Linked DNA regions of Elephas maximus indicus. The protein of the gene in region 2 purifies or fractionates together with the protein of the main gene of each other region. This does not show direct contact. Links are inferred from orthologs where the notes say so. Each region holds a gene or a part of one and is shown on either strand. Other genes may lie near its edges.

Evidence for each region.
Region 1: the proteins of SNRNP200 (region 2) and CD2BP2 purify together in Homo sapiens (affinity purification with mass spectrometry; 8 studies listed by BioGRID and IntAct, counting the BioPlex papers as one, with this or other methods). This does not show direct contact. The link is inferred for Elephas maximus indicus from reciprocal best matches to the Homo sapiens genes SNRNP200 and CD2BP2.

Annotation. Positions count from the first base shown.
Region 1 is NC_064830.1:89,630,583-89,638,447, forward strand, and holds CD2BP2 (CD2 antigen cytoplasmic tail-binding protein 2), read right to left. Parts: upstream 2,997-7,865; 5' UTR 2,856-2,996; intron 2,340-2,855; 5' UTR 2,309-2,339; coding exon 2,225-2,308; intron 2,005-2,224; coding exon 1,869-2,004; intron 1,718-1,868; coding exon 1,560-1,717; intron 1,454-1,559; coding exon 1,018-1,453; intron 936-1,017; coding exon 829-935; intron 762-828; coding exon 630-761; 3' UTR 508-629; downstream 1-507. Other genes in the region: TBC1D10B (TBC1 domain family member 10B), read right to left, coding at 5,523-6,242, 6,331-6,485, 6,841-7,030, 7,231-7,296, 7,420-7,534. UniProt on the Homo sapiens protein: Involved in pre-mRNA splicing as component of the U5 snRNP complex that is involved in spliceosome assembly.
Region 2 is NC_064835.1:88,744,417-88,751,296, reverse strand, and holds the start of SNRNP200 (U5 small nuclear ribonucleoprotein 200 kDa helicase), read right to left. Parts: upstream 3,017-6,880; 5' UTR 2,893-3,016; coding exon 2,848-2,892; intron 2,360-2,847; coding exon 2,196-2,359; intron 510-2,195; coding exon 338-509; intron 1-337. UniProt on the Homo sapiens protein: Catalyzes the ATP-dependent unwinding of U4/U6 RNA duplices, an essential step in the assembly of a catalytically active spliceosome. Plays a role in pre-mRNA splicing as a core component of precatalytic, catalytic and postcatalytic spliceosomal complexes.

The DNA.
Region 1 (7,865 bases), on a different chromosome or scaffold from region 2:
CAAGTAGCCCTGGTGGAACAGTGGTTAAAGCGCTCGGCTGCTAAAAGAAAGGTCTGCAGTTCAAACCCACCAGCCACTTTGCAGGAGAAAAGATATGGCAGTCTGCTTCTGTGAAGATTTACAGCCTGGGAAACCGTATTAGGCAGTTCTATTCTGTTCTAGTGGGTCACTATGAGTTGGAATCAACTGGATGGCCGTGGGTTTGGGTTGGTTTGGTTCTTAGGCTAACAACCTAAGAACACTGAACGGGAAGCCCAAAGGAGACTGGAAAATAGTGTAACTGATGGATTTTCAGATGGCAAGCAGAGTCCAAGTGGAGAGGCCGCAGGATGTTGACAGGCCCAGGCCCTAGTCCCTGAGAACAAAGGTGAGGTGGTTCAAGAGACCAGAGAGAAACTCCCAAGGAGCAACTTTATGGGAAGAAACACCCAAAGGAGCAAGGCAAGTGCAAAGGGATTGTGGAGAAGGCCCCCGGCTTCTGGTCCCAGCATAGCCAAGGCCCCAATACACAACTAAAGGCTTTTATTCGGAAAGAAGCAGCCCCCAGTGTCCTCACTTCCTGAGACAGCTGGAGCCTCCCCCACAGAGTCCAAGAAAGAAGGGGCCACTAAACTCGGCCCTCAGTGGGCTCAGGTGTAGAGGTCAAAGTCAATCCGTTTGGAGTTGTAGAACTGACCACCAGGGGGGTCCAGCTTCCGGCAATACACACCATCAGGGAAGTAGCCTTCATTCACCCAGGTCTGCAGGGAGAGAGGGCAGAGCTAGGGGAGGAGCTGTGGAGGTGGGGGATGGGAAGCACAAGGCAGAACTAGGTAGAAAAGGACTTACCTGCATCTGGGCACTGGTAAAGGGCCCATATAGCTCAGCATCCCGTGTGTTCTCCCATTTGTATTCCCACATCACATCCACTAGACCATCCCCTGGCGACTCTGCTTCTAAAATAAGAGGAAAAGCAATCTGGGCCTCAACCACCATGCCTTCTGCCCACAACACCCCTCTTCTGCCCTCCAAGCTTACCTCCTCTTTGGGCAGGGGTTGGGCTCTCCAGCTCCTCCTCTGCTACTTCCTCAGCAAACATGTCCAGAGAGGGTGGGGGTGCAGGGTCATGGGATCCCTGGGTCCGGCACCCCAGCCCCTTCAGCCGCATGGCCAACCGTTCCCGAGTCTCCTGGTACACACCAAGGTTGCCCCGGGCCACCATTTGGTCGGCCAACCCTGAGAGCCGGTCTAGGCGCTGTGGGGAGCTGGGCCGCCCAGGCCCTTTGCTGTCCCCTTTGCCTCCGCCTCGGGCCCCCAGACGCCTCAATGCCCCAGCAACTGTCTCCCTCGGCAACAGCAGCTCCAGAAGGCCCTCCAGAAGGGCTTGGGCACTCATCGGTGTCTGGCCCAGGCTGTTCTCCTCCTCTGAGTCTGACGTCTGATGCTGATCAGGTGGTTGCTCCCTAATCTTTACCTGTAAATATGAAGACAGAAAAGTTATTCCCTACAAATTGCCAGCAGGGCTCAGACTGCACATTTTCTGCCCACAGACCCCAGTCATGCCAGCCCCTGGGCCACACCCAATCAATGTTATCCAGCCAGTTGTCTCGGATCTGAGCATCCCGGTTCAAGAAGTAGTTGCCATCGGCATCAAAGCGGCCTTCCTCCATCTCTTCCTGTAGGTTGAAGGGTGTGATCCGCACACCTCCCTCGCTGGGGAGTGTGGCTGCTTCCTGACCTGCACCAAAGACACACATGCTCCATGCTAGGTGTGCAAAAAGAGGCAGTGGCCAAAAAAAAAAAAAAAAAGGCAGGAGCCTCCCTTGTCCCACAGCCCCAGAAGCCCCTCCTTGTCCCTCTGGCTGAGTCACATCTTCAGTATAACTCACCCTCCACATCTTCTGAAGCCAGGATGTCGTATTTGCTGGACCCCTCCTCATCGTCATCCTCCTCATCGCTGTCCAAAGAGTGTTTACCTTTGAAGCGGCTCCCAGGACCCCCTGCCCCAGCCACAGGATCCACCAGCTATGAGCAAGAATCAGCAAATCAAGAGATGCGGGATATTGGCTACTCCCCAAAATACTCCAGGATTTGGACCCAAACTGAAAATTCTTCAAAGTCATTCCTCAGAGAATATTCGAAAACCAACCCACTTTTTGTGTCCTCAGCTTTATTTCTCTTTCAGTTTCTAGCTTCTCTTTTCTCCCCTCACTCGTCCCAGAACACAGGAGTCTGGCCCCCTCACCTTCTTCTTGGGGACACTGATTTCACTCTCATCATCATCATCATCATCTCCCACGCCCTGGAAAGTCACTTTCCTCTTTGGCATGACGGGGCAGAGAAGGCTTCTCTAAACTGTGCTGAGAGAAAGCAGGCGAGGTAAGAGAACTGGAGGGGCGAGGAGGGGACTCAGGCGAGAGAGCCCCGCTCCCACCCCCACAACAAACATTTCACCAGGTACATCCTGTTCGGGAGGGGAGGGAGCACAGGATGAGTCCGAAAAGGGAGCTGGCAGCCAGGCAACTCCCTTGGTTCGGGATTCCAGAGGGTGCTGGAACCGGAAGAGAGGGTATCTCCCCATGGTATTCCCACCTTTAACGAAGAGGCAACCGGCTCTCCCACGTGACCACCCCCTCCCCGGCTCCCGCAGTCCTAGGCACGGCGGCACTCTGGGGGCTGACAGCTGGCCCCTCAGGGTCCCCAGAGCCCGCGGGGCCCACGCAGCCCCAGGATCTGGAGCCCTGGCCGCCCCACTCCTCCTAGCGCCCAAACTCCCAACCCCGCGGGGAGACCTCCAACTGCCGGTGCTATGTATACAAACTAGAGGGGCTGCAAAGCCAGGGGAGACTCAGGAAGTCCCACTGGCGCGCGCTCACCTGGGGCTCCAGGGGAGACGGGGGAAGAAAAAAAGAGATGCTTTCGCTAGGGATATATCCGGGGCGCCTGACCGCCATCACCCGGAAGAGAACTGCCGAAGGCGCCAGGGAAGCTGGAAGTGACTTCACTCCGGTTAGAGAACTAACTGAAAGAGCGGGCGGAAGTATGCAATGAGCGAGGGACGACCTGCCAGAAGTGACGTAAACTGGCGAAATGACAAAAAGGGATCGTATGACCGCTTAGACTCGGATCCGGCGAGGGAGGTGGTGTGGATCCCCTCAGGCAGCAGTAGAGGTTTTGGGGAGAAAGTGGAGTGCGCTCTAATTCAAGGGGCGCCCAGAGTCAGCATGGAGGGGCAGAGTCCGAGCAGGTCCAGTACATTCCTAGCCGGTTACCTTTTCAGGGTTCGATCACCCTTTTTCCACAGCTAGCTAAGGGCTCTACGCCCACCATCTGAGGAGAAATCATCCCTGCCCACTCCCAGCTGTCTGCTCCGTTCTTAGTGTCAAGAGACGGAGCCTTTTCTCTGGGGAAGCCTGCTCGACTCTTCTGATGGCCCACTTTGTGGCCCCTGACCACTCCTAGGTCTCTCAAACACCGAGCTCCCTTTAGGCCCCAAGGGAAGTCATTTGCTCCACACCTACCCCCAGAACGGCTCCTGGTTTCTCAGGTGGGAAAGCCACCAACAGGAGAGGTAGCCAAGTACCCAGGCCAGAGGCCTCTCCTGTCCCTCTCAGGTAGGCCTGCAAAAGGGTAGCAGTACCTCTCTCGAAGTGCAGCGCAGGATAAAGCCCCCACCCTTAGCAAACAAAGCCCAGGTGCTGGGAGCTTGGCCCAAGGGGGTGGGGTTGGGAGGTGGGAGGAGTGGGTCCCATTACTGTGGTAAAGAGGTCCCAAACTCTAGTGGACACTCAGGAGCTTGAATCCCACTAGGCTAGTGCTCAGAAGCCTGCTGAAGCCAGAGGACACCAGCAGGGGGCACCTAGGGCGACCATCTGGCCCCTCCTCTCTCCCGCTCCCTGGATTAAACCACCGTGAAACCTCACCTAGAGTCTGTTTTATTCTGGGGGTCAGAGCACAGGTCCCAGATCGGGATGGCTTCTTGCTAAAGAATGGGGTCCAAAACACCAGCTACCAGTGCTGCTGTTCCTCCTCCATGGAAACCTACCTGGAGCACCAGGCAGACAGCACACACCTAAGCCTCGTCCTGTTGGAGAACTGCCAGGTGGAGCCACACCTTGGAGCCGTGGAATCCAACATGGAATCCTACACCTTTAAGGTTCTGACCCCTGAGGTGGAGGGCACAGAGGGTGGCATGGACCTATCAGCTGGCTACAGAAAACCAAGAGCTGGAGGGCCTGGCATGGGCACTGGCCAGAGTGAGCTGGAGCCGGCTGGCAGCACTGCTACCCTCTCTGGAGTCCCCAGTACAGGAAAGTGTGCCAGGCGACTGGCCAGGAGCCCAGCTCACTCTCAGAGAGCTGTGGCTTTCTAGCCACCCTCACTCAGTACCCCCTCAGGCTTCTAGGAGCTGCATGAGTGCTTTAGGAAGGAGATCTGGGTGCTGCAGGAAAAGCGTAGAGGGCTCCAGACCAGTGACAATGGAGAGAGCAAATTCCAGGCAAAGCTGAGGCAGGAGCTCAACCAGTTTGTTGATGAGCGACTGAGATGGACCAAAGGCCAAGAGGCACCTGCCAAGACCAGCAGACTGCTTTGATAGAGACCCAGGTCCTGTCTGTCTTCCCTTCCTCCCTAGCCATTACCCCCACACCTCCTTCATCAAAAAACAAGGCAGAAGACAAGCCCAGGTACAACAGCAGGTTCTTTTCCGGTTCCTCAAAGCGCCACACGCACAGGGCGGGGGCAGGGACAGAAGAAAATGTAAACATAGGGTTCCACCCCTGGACCTCAAGGGAAGACTCCTCTGATAGGGGATGGAAGGAAACAAGGTGAAAGGTAGGGGCCCTCGTGAGACAAAGCAGGGGAGGCCTGAGAACACAGAGGAGGGAGAGCATGAGGGCAGGGGTGGGGAGGTGGGGGACATTTCCTGTTCCAGTGCATGTCCCCTTAAATAAACTGGGACACGAGCATTGTGGAAGGAGAACCGAAGAGCAGAAGATGGAGTGAGCATTCCCCCCCCAGGCTGGCCAGGTCCTCTGTACATAATTATAACAGAGATGTCCAGAAATAGATCAAGGAGAACCTTGGCCCCCAGCCAAGAAGTGGGGACTGGCAGGACTGGAGGAAGGAAAAGGGAACCCAGCTCCACCTCATAGGTAAGGGAAGCCACTGGAGTGTAAGAATCTGAAAACTGCAGACTCCCATCACCAAGAGTCACCCCCGTAATGACAAGAAATCAACCAGGACAGCACCGGGGAGGGGGACCCCACAGGGAGTTGGGGCAGGAGTGACAGAGACCCTGGCTGGGTCTGTCTGGAGGTAAGGGGCTCCAGATTTGCTCCTGGCTGCCTCAGGGAAATGCAGCTGCCCCATGCACTCTGTCTTGGCTGTGTAGGATCAGCAGCTGGCATGAGGAGATAGGGTATCAAGCCACCTTCCTCTGAGAAGGACGGCCTACCAAGGGGGCTGGGGGCAGCAGCCCAGGCCAGGCCTGCTCTTGGCTGAGGGGAAAAGGGGGGCCATGCAGTCCAGCCCCAGGGCAGAGGTCAGAAGTACGCATCCTGCCGGGCCTCAGATGCCAAGGACCTGTCCCCACCATCCTGAGGGGCTGGGGGCCCATCTGCCTTTCGACGCAGCGAAAGCTTCCGGCCTTGGGCCTTCTTCTCCTGCTTCTGCCGTTCCTTCTCCTGCTTCTGCCGTTCCTTCTCCAGCTTCTGCCGCTCCTTCTCCTGTTTCTGCTGCTCCTTCTCCTGCTCTTTTTCCCACTTCTGCCGCTCCTTCTCCTGCTTCTCCCGCTCTTTCTCCTGTTTCTGCCGCTCCTTCTCACTCTCCTTTTCCTGTTTCTGCCGCTCCTTCTCACTCTCCTTTTCCTGTTTCTGCCGCTCTTTCTCCTGCCTCCGGGCTTCCTTGCTGGTACCCAAGGGGGTGCTGTTGCCAGTAGGTGAGGGAAGGGATGGATGCAGTCCCTCAGCAGTGACCATAGGCCCTGGGGCAGGCCCAGCACTGGCCCTTCGGGCAGGAGGGGGTGGAGAGGGCGCCCCACCACCTAACCGGGAGCCTCGGCTCTTGAGGCCAGGGAGGCTGAGGAGGCTGGAAGAGGGGCCCAGAGGTGGCTGCTGCCGTCGCCGCTCTTCATGGATGGCCCGGGAGCCATGTAATCTCCGTGAGGGCCGATACTGCAGCTCCCCCCGGGTTTCCCGCCACTTCTTGAGCTGCGCTGCGTTTTCTCGCTCAATCAGTGCCTCTGTCACTGGGAGGTTGGTCACCTAGAAAGAGAGGAAATGGGTTGCAGAATGAAAAAGAGGTGCATGGATGGGCCAAAGCAGATGTGGAGTGTGTAGAGTCAAGTCCTACCTCGTGCACAAGGAAGTCCTCCTGCATGCACTGCTGCGGCAGGTTGCGCAGCTGCTCCATGGTCTCATACATGCCTTGGCAGGAGCGCAGCTTCTCCACAGAGCCCAGCGTGTGCCGCAGGAGCACCAGGGCCACTCGGAAGATGATCTTGACGCCTAGAGGGCCAGAAGAGAGCATGGGGGGATCAGGCCCCGGATCTCAGCCAGTCCCATTTAGTAGGGACTCACAGCCCCCATCCCTCTTACTGCTAAATCTTACAGATGAGGAAATTGAGGCCCGAGAAGGAAAATGAGTTGCCACGGGTTTCTGCTTCCTGGGAGGAAGAGCAGCCCTGGGTTGGTGGCACAGCCAAAGATCAGGCCTCAGTTCCTCCAGCCTCCAGGCTGCTTACATTGAAGCCTAGGCCCAACAACTACCTTCTGTCATGGGGCCATGAGAAATGTGACAGGGCCCTCTGGCAGTCACCACAGAAGCCCCAGCCCCTCAGGGCCTGCATGGCCACAGATGTACCTTCACAGAAGAACATGTCCCAGACACGCAGCACTGAGGCCCAGGGCAGGGTGCGGGCAAAAATACACATGAACCATTCTGTCATGTAGAGCACAGGGTCAATGCGCTGCCGCCGCAGGTGCCGATGTGCCAATGGGGACGCCCGGCGCAATAGCGCAAAAAAGATCTCTCCATCCAGCTGAATGGCCTCCTGGAGGAGTAACAAGTCATGAGAGGAGGGCCTGGCCTGCTTCGGCCCCCTAGGGATAGACCTAGCCCTGAGAGTGGATGCTCACCCCAGTGAGGAGATGCCCAAAGACAGGGACTGAAGGGCAGTGTGAGGCAGGGTAAGGGTTTCCCTGCAGCCTTGGGGAAAAGTTACAGCCCGAGGTGCACCCAGCCTCCACTCACCAGTCCTGCACTGTAGTAGCCAGGGAGGTACTTGTCGCAGATCTGTACCAGGCACCAAAACGCTTGCTGGGAAGGGCAAGAATAAGGAGGGAGGGATGGGACCTGAGAAAGAGATCGGGGAGCTCCTCCATCACCACTGTAGGCCAAGATGCTCCCAGCCCACCCCCACCAGGACAAGCCTATGCTGACCTCAGCAGGCATGTGCATGAGCAGCACTGCAGCCACTGGGGCCTGGGCCTGGCAGTAACCCTCATCGGGCCGGTAGATGGTGTAGGCCTTCAGGATGCGATACAGGTCCTGTTGCCTGGAGGGACGGGGAAGACTGTGAGGGTGATCACAGGAGTTGCGAGCTCTCTGACCCAAACCAAATCTGCTCCCTACCAGCCCCAGCCTAGACTTTTCCATCACCTAGCTGCAGATTAATCTCAGAATTTCACCACGACATACCATCTGCCTTCCTAGTCCTGCCTATCGAGCTATCAAGGTTGAGACCACAAAGCATTCCAGCTCTTGCTCTCCAACCTTTGGCTACACACCCCATACTCCTTACCCATTCTCTAGTCCAGGCTGTGCTCTCTCGCCTCCCAGTCTTTGTCCCTGCCTCTCTCCCTCCAACTGCCACTATCCCATAAACC
Region 2 (6,880 bases):
GAGACAGACTACCTGGGTTCATCCTGGCTCTGCCAAATACAACCTCTGTGACTTGGGGAAATTACTATTCTGTGCCTCACGTCACTCTTCCGTAAAATGGAAAATGAGTATTAACTGCACCTTATCTCACAGAGCGAATGTGAGACCTAAAAGAGAACAGGCACGGAAAGCGCCATCCCACATGAAAAAAACGGTCACTTAACGTGGGCCGCCGTTATTAGTCCTTCTGCCAACTGGTGTGGCCCATACAGGCAGATCCAGAGACAAGGCTCTTCAGTGATCCCAGCTGTGACCTTCTCCCTTCCAAATGCCGGTCCTCACGCTCTGGCTGCCTCACCTGGTCCCCGAGCGCAGCCTGGATGAAGCTGAGCAGCACCTCATAGGTCTCCCGGGTCTCCTTAGTTTTGGGCTTATAGATGATGCCCACCATCTCGTCAATGCCCTCCGACAACAGGGTATAGCCCTTCATCTTGTTGATGTCATGCCGGTCCTCGTCACGCTTTCTTCGCCTAATGGACACACAATATGATGTTCAACAGAGAGAAGCTTCCCTCGCCAAGCGAAGGCTAAATCAAACCCACACCCCTCTTTTTCAGTTTTGTGATACACACCTATATCTGAAAAGAGAAACCTGTACCTCAGCAGATGATTCCCACTTGACCTTAAGTCCCTAGCACGAGACATTTCTTGATGGGACTCATCGACAGAAAAGGAGCCCTATGGTGCACCAGCTGCGCTAATCGATACAATGAGATAGCCTCCTCATTCATTTAAAAGAATCACTTCGTATGAAGATCTTATGTAACCTGATCCTGGCTAGTTTTTCACCTCTCATAGACATTTCCTTTTCCTAGCCAGAGAAACGGAAGCTCCAAAGGAATCCACTGCTCTTGACTCCTGCGGTGTGAGGACTGATTTTATGTGGCCTTTCTAAGCATGGTCTCATAACTTCCACCAAATGACTGAATGTGACTACAGAAAGAAAGTGCTTGTGGTCCACCAAGGGGACTGGACAGCTTGCTAAAAATGCAAATAAGGTGTGTGGCACCCGTGGGGGTGGAACCACGCACATATGGTACGTGGCCCCCTAATGAGGGGACTATCAGTTTTGCCATCCCACCATGCTTAAAATGAGCTCATCCCAGAACAGAGCGGGGCTTCACTACCACCAAGAAGAAGAGATGGGAGCAGAGTGCATCCTTTGGACATGGCGTCCCTGCGCTGAGAACCTCCTAGACCCAGGAGACAGAGAAAGAGAGCTCCAATGTCGGAGACAGTGCTGCAGCAGGGAAACGGCAGCAGCAGAACCAGGAGACCAGCACCAGACAACACGGTAGCCACTGCAATGAGTTATCGAACTCAGCAGAGCAGCAGACAGCTCCTGAGAGGGCTGGCCGGTGTCAGAACTGGTAAAAAGACTGGAGGATCAAGGGCTGTCTGACCTCCATCTCATAGCGATCAGCTGGCTGATGCTGATGGTGAAGCTCTCCCTAATCATAAAGTGAGACAAAAAGAAGGGTGACACTGCCACCATGCCATTCTTACAAACTCCCAACAAGGTACAATAAAATTGGAAAAGAGGTCATATGCTGCAAAATGGAAAACTAATAATCTATTCACTCATTTCAAATATAACTACTTTAATCAAAAGTGGGCCTAGGAATTTTTGAGACTTTATCACAGAGAATGGAGGAAACACAGAGATGTTCGGAAAAAAACGGTGAGATAAAGTTCAATCATTGTCTAGGTTTTGAAATACCTCAAAAAGTAAAGAAAACTAAAAGGAAACAAAGCACCTTTAGTAATATGACCACTAAATGTTAGTTGTAACAACAAAATAGCTGGGAGTAGGCAAAAGCAGAAGAAAGAAATTGAGGTGAAAAGTTAATAATGGAAGAAGAAAAGTTACTGAGACAAGGAAACTTGAAAATACCCCATAAGAAAAGATCTGTATGTGGACCAGAAAGAGATTACTAAAAAAAAGTAACAAAGAGTTATTTTCCACTGCAAATGTACTCACCTAGGCCAAAGACCCTTTAGCTCTTGCGTTCTGTGTTTACCTTCACTAAGATAATTTAATAACCACCGAGGTGTCACCTTGCACCAAGCATTTCTGCAAAATATACTTGAAACTCAAATGCTAAAGAAAACACGGGCTCTAAATGTGAAGAAAAAAGCTTTCCCTTGGTACTCACTTGGCTCTTCTCTCCTCCTGCATCTGCGGCTTGGTCCGCTGAGCTTTATCCCCCATCCGGGTGCCCTCCAGCTTCCCAACCAGAGACAGCACCTCTCCTGTGGGTTCATCGCGGCGGGTGCGGTCAATGAGCGAGCGGTCAGCTTGGAGGACGAGATTCGAGTTCTGGAAAGATCACATTGTCGGAGCTCTGACGTGAACAGGGCCAGCTGCTAATTACGGGGACAAGAGCTGGTAATACCTCAGGACGGGCCGAGGCCACCAAGTGCTAACAGTCCCCAGACGGAGTAAATAAACAGTTTCCTTCAGAAGCGACGGCACCGCGCGAGACTGCGGCGGATCAAGGGCCGAGTTCGGCTCTGGGCTCGGCCCGTCGAGCGACCTGACCCCCCGCCGCCCACACAGCGCGCGACGGCCGGCCTGGGCGGCGAGTGTCCGCAGGGCCCGGCCGGCGCTCAGGGGCCCGGGGAAGCCCTCCGAGGAGGCCCCGGCCGTCCCGCCCGCCAGGCCCAGCGGGCGCCCACAGGCCGTGCAGCCCCACTTGCGCCCGATTCAACCTCCCTCCACCTTCGCGGCTCGCGCGCCGGCCTTCCTCGGCCTCTCGCTCCCCACCCGGCTCCCTCGCCCGGAGTCTTCCCCTAGCCCTCACGCACCGCTTTGTACTCGTACTGCAGGCTGCGGGCGGTCACATCCGCCATGACTGCAGCTCAGCCGGGCCCTCAGGGCTCCGCGCCGCCGCACCACACGCCGCGAACCGCCGCTCCCGTTGCCACAGGCCGGAAGACGCAAGAGGGACGCCCGGAGAGGAAGACGGGAGCTCACTTCCGCTTCCGGGTCGCGCGCAGAGAGTGTGGGGAGGGCACGTCTCCGAGAGGTGGGCGGGGCTGGCGCCTCTGAGTCTCCGGTTCCCCGGATCCCGCGACCCCTGCACTCTGGTTCCTGCGTCCCTTCCGTCGGCCTTCTGGCGCGGCGGACTCAGTGACTCTACTTCCCCACCCCCTACCTGCGGCCCTCAGGTCGTAACGGAACGTACACCTGTCCAGCCCGCTGTGCTGACCTAGACCCTTCTCCACCCGCTTCTTCCTCTGACTCTCGCCCTGTGAGGTAGGCACTCTAGGAGACTGATCACCCCCTTCTCCGCCTGAGGAACCCGAAGCACCCAGCGAGCGGGAGTTAGTCTGTGTAATGGCTACTTTCCTTTGGGTTCCGCAGCTGTATTTAACTCAGAATGGATCAAAGACCTAAATGTTAATCTTAACACCCTAAAATTCCTGCAAGACAATACAGGGAGAAAACTGTGGGACCTGTATAAGAATAGGATAACACATACAACAAATGCAGGAAGAAAATAGATAAATGGGCCCTCGTAAGGTTAAGAAAAAAAAAAAACTTACCCTCATCAAAAGACTTTATTGAAACAGTAAATAGACAACCTAAAGACTGGGAAAAAAAATCTTTGGAAATGACTTCCAAAAAGGGTCTAATCTCTAAAATCTATAGAAAACTGCAACAGCTCAACAGCAAAAAGGCAACCCAGTCACAAAATGGGCAAAGAACGTGAACAGAATCTTCACCAGATAGGACATCCACGCGGCCAACAAACATATGAAAAGATGTTCACAAGCATTAGTCATTGTTGTCAGGTGCTGACGAGTCAGTTACAACTCATTGCGACCCTATAGGGCAGAGTAGAACTGCCCCATAGGGCTTCCAAGGAGCGGCTGGTGGATTTGAACTGCCGACCCTTTTGGTTAGCAGCCGAGCTCTTAACCACTGGGCCACGAGGGCTGTCCTTAGCTGTTAGAGATGCAAATGAAAACTGCAATGAGAAACCCTCTTATCCCTCTCCTCCCCCAAAAGTGGCATTGATTAAAAAAAAAAAACAGGTAACAAATGTCGTCAAGGATGTGGGGACACTGAAACCCTTATCTGTTGCTGCTGAGACTGAGAAATGTAGAACAGTATGGCGCTTTCTCAAAAAAGTAAGAATAGAGCTGTCGTATGATCCAGCAACCCCACTTCTAGGTATAAAACCAGCCTGTTGCCATCGCGTTGATTCTGATTCATAGCGACCCTACAGAACAGAGTAGAACTGCCCCGTAGGGTTTCCAAGGCTGTTACCTGTGTGTAAGCAGACTGCCACATCTTTCTCCCGCAAAGTGCTTCTGTCAAGATTTACAGCCTTGGAAACCCCATGGGGCAGTTCTACTCTGTCCTACAGGTCTCTGTGAGTTGGAATCAACTCATCAGCACCAGGTTTGGTTTTTTGGTTTTTGTTTGTTTTGGTTTATACACGTGGACCTCTCGACTACATTTATGGAAAGAAACAACGGAGAAGCTCAACATCATCAGTAAGAACAAAGCCAGGGGCCAGCTGTGGAACAAACCATCAATTGCTCTTATGCAGGTTCAAGTTGGAGCTGAAGAAAATTAAAACAAGCCCAGGAAAGCCAAAGTACAACTTTGAGTATATCCCACCTGAATTTAGAGACCATCTCAAGAGCAGCTTTGACACATTGAGTTCTAATGACCAAAGACCAGATGAGTTGTGGGATGACATCAAGAGCACCATACATGAAAAAAGCAAAGGTCATTAAAAAGACTGGAGAGACATGAGGCAGTTTTACTGTGTCCTATAAGGTGGCTATGAGTCAGAATTGACTTGATGGCAATGGGTTGTTTTTGTTTTTGCAAAGGAGAGGAAAACCCTCACTGATATTGTTACTGAGCTTCTTTATTCTTTAAAAAAAACTTAAAAAAAAAAACCTGTTGCCCTCAAGTCAATTCTGATTCATAGCGACCATATAGGACAGAGTAGAACCACCCCATAGGGTTTCCAAGGAGCGGCTGGTGGATTCGAACTGCCACCCGAGCTCTTAACCACTGCACCACCAGGTCTCCATTCTTTACTTACCTTTCCATGTATTACAAATACCCTAAAAAAGTTGTAGGAGTAGGAGGAAGGTGTTACTCTGTGGTTCAGGTATGTTATGTACATGTTTAAGTTTGGCTCTTTGATTATCTTCCTAAAGAAGGGAAACCATCCTCAAACTATTTGTGTTGAGTTTTTGAATACTGTTTTAGGATAGACTATACTTCAAGTAATGAAATTCTGCATAGAGGACCTATTCGGAAGTGGGGAAGAAACCATCCAAGCTCTCTTGTTTCTTATTCCCATTTGGAAACAGACGGCCTGACCTCTCAGTCTGGTGTAAAGTATTGGTCTATAGAGAGCTGTTACTTTGCCCTCCCCACTTTTTTATTCTCAGTTAAGAAAAATAGTACATTGCTGCAAACCAATCAATCTTTAAGAGAAATCCCTGCATCCATACCCCCAACTTCTTTGCAGTTATTATTCTCCCCCCACAAATCTAAGTAGTTTTGGAAAAAAAGGACTAGGTTTCACACCCGTGTGTCCCTGACACCTCATCCCAATCTTTCCAGGCAAAATAAATTTAAAAAAATAGCTTTACAGTTCGCAAAAGTGCTTCCTATACGTGCTCATTTCATAAACGTAATAGAATACAACCTGTAAATAGATTTCAGTTCGCTACTGGGGAGTTTATTTTATGGTCAGTATATCGTGAATCTTGCTATCGCCTGGTGGCATCTCATTTTTAAGACTTCTTCAATTATTAGTTGATTCATAGCACAGAACAGGATACAAAGTGGAAAGAAAGCAATGCTCTAGTGTTGTAATTGCTGACTTAAAAATAGACTTTAGAACTAAATGTTTGATTATAAAATTTACATGGAAAAGTAAAGAAAAAAACTATATTTTTAAAGAAAAGAGAATATTCAGGCTTTATTTCTGGTATGAAGTTTTTTTTCTTTTTTAAATCCTATATCATCACACCAGAGATTTTAGATTCTTTTCTGGTTACAAACATTGCTGGTAGTTGGATTATATTTTTAATGTATTCATTTCTCTTAGGAGGAAAACTGTAAAGAAACAAAAAGTTTCCAGATGAATGTATCCTAGAAATAAAAGTTGAAATATTCTTTAAAAAAAAAAAAAAATGGACGTCAGAAGAGAGCCACCAGAGCGGATGACTGCAATGAAAAGTCTGAATATGGTCAGTGCCACAAGGGGCACTGTGGGAGACAGGGAAGGTAGAGTCACTCTGAGGAGACTTGGAGAAACTTCGCAGAGAAGACAGCATTTGCCCGTGGTGTAAAGGCTGGCTAGGATTCAGTGAGGGGTGGGGGGCTTCCGAGGGCGGGGCACAAAAAGAGCTAAAAGCATGGAGCAGGGAAGTCAGGCATGTCCTGGGAGCTGTCAGAGTCAGTTCACCTGCCTGCGGCAAATGTAAGCAATAGGAACAGGGTGGCTACACGTGTAGCTGGGAATCTCTTTATTGAAGAAATAGTCTCGTAGTAAAGAATGCTTACTTCAGCCAGGAGGTAACAGAAAACCATGGCAGGTTTCTGTTTCTTGTTTGCTTGCTTGTTTTTCACACCTGCATAGCAGATACTTGATTAAGGAGACCAATGTTCAGATTAAGCAAAAATTTATTGAGTGCCTATCACGTGACAAAGAGCCCTGGTGGTGCAGGGGTTAAGCACTCAGCTGTTACCTAGTGGTCCGAACCCACCAGCTGCCCCACGGGAGAAAAATGTGGCAGTCAGCTTCCACGAAGGTTTCAGCCTCAGAAACCCTATAGGGCAGTTCTACTCTGGCCTATA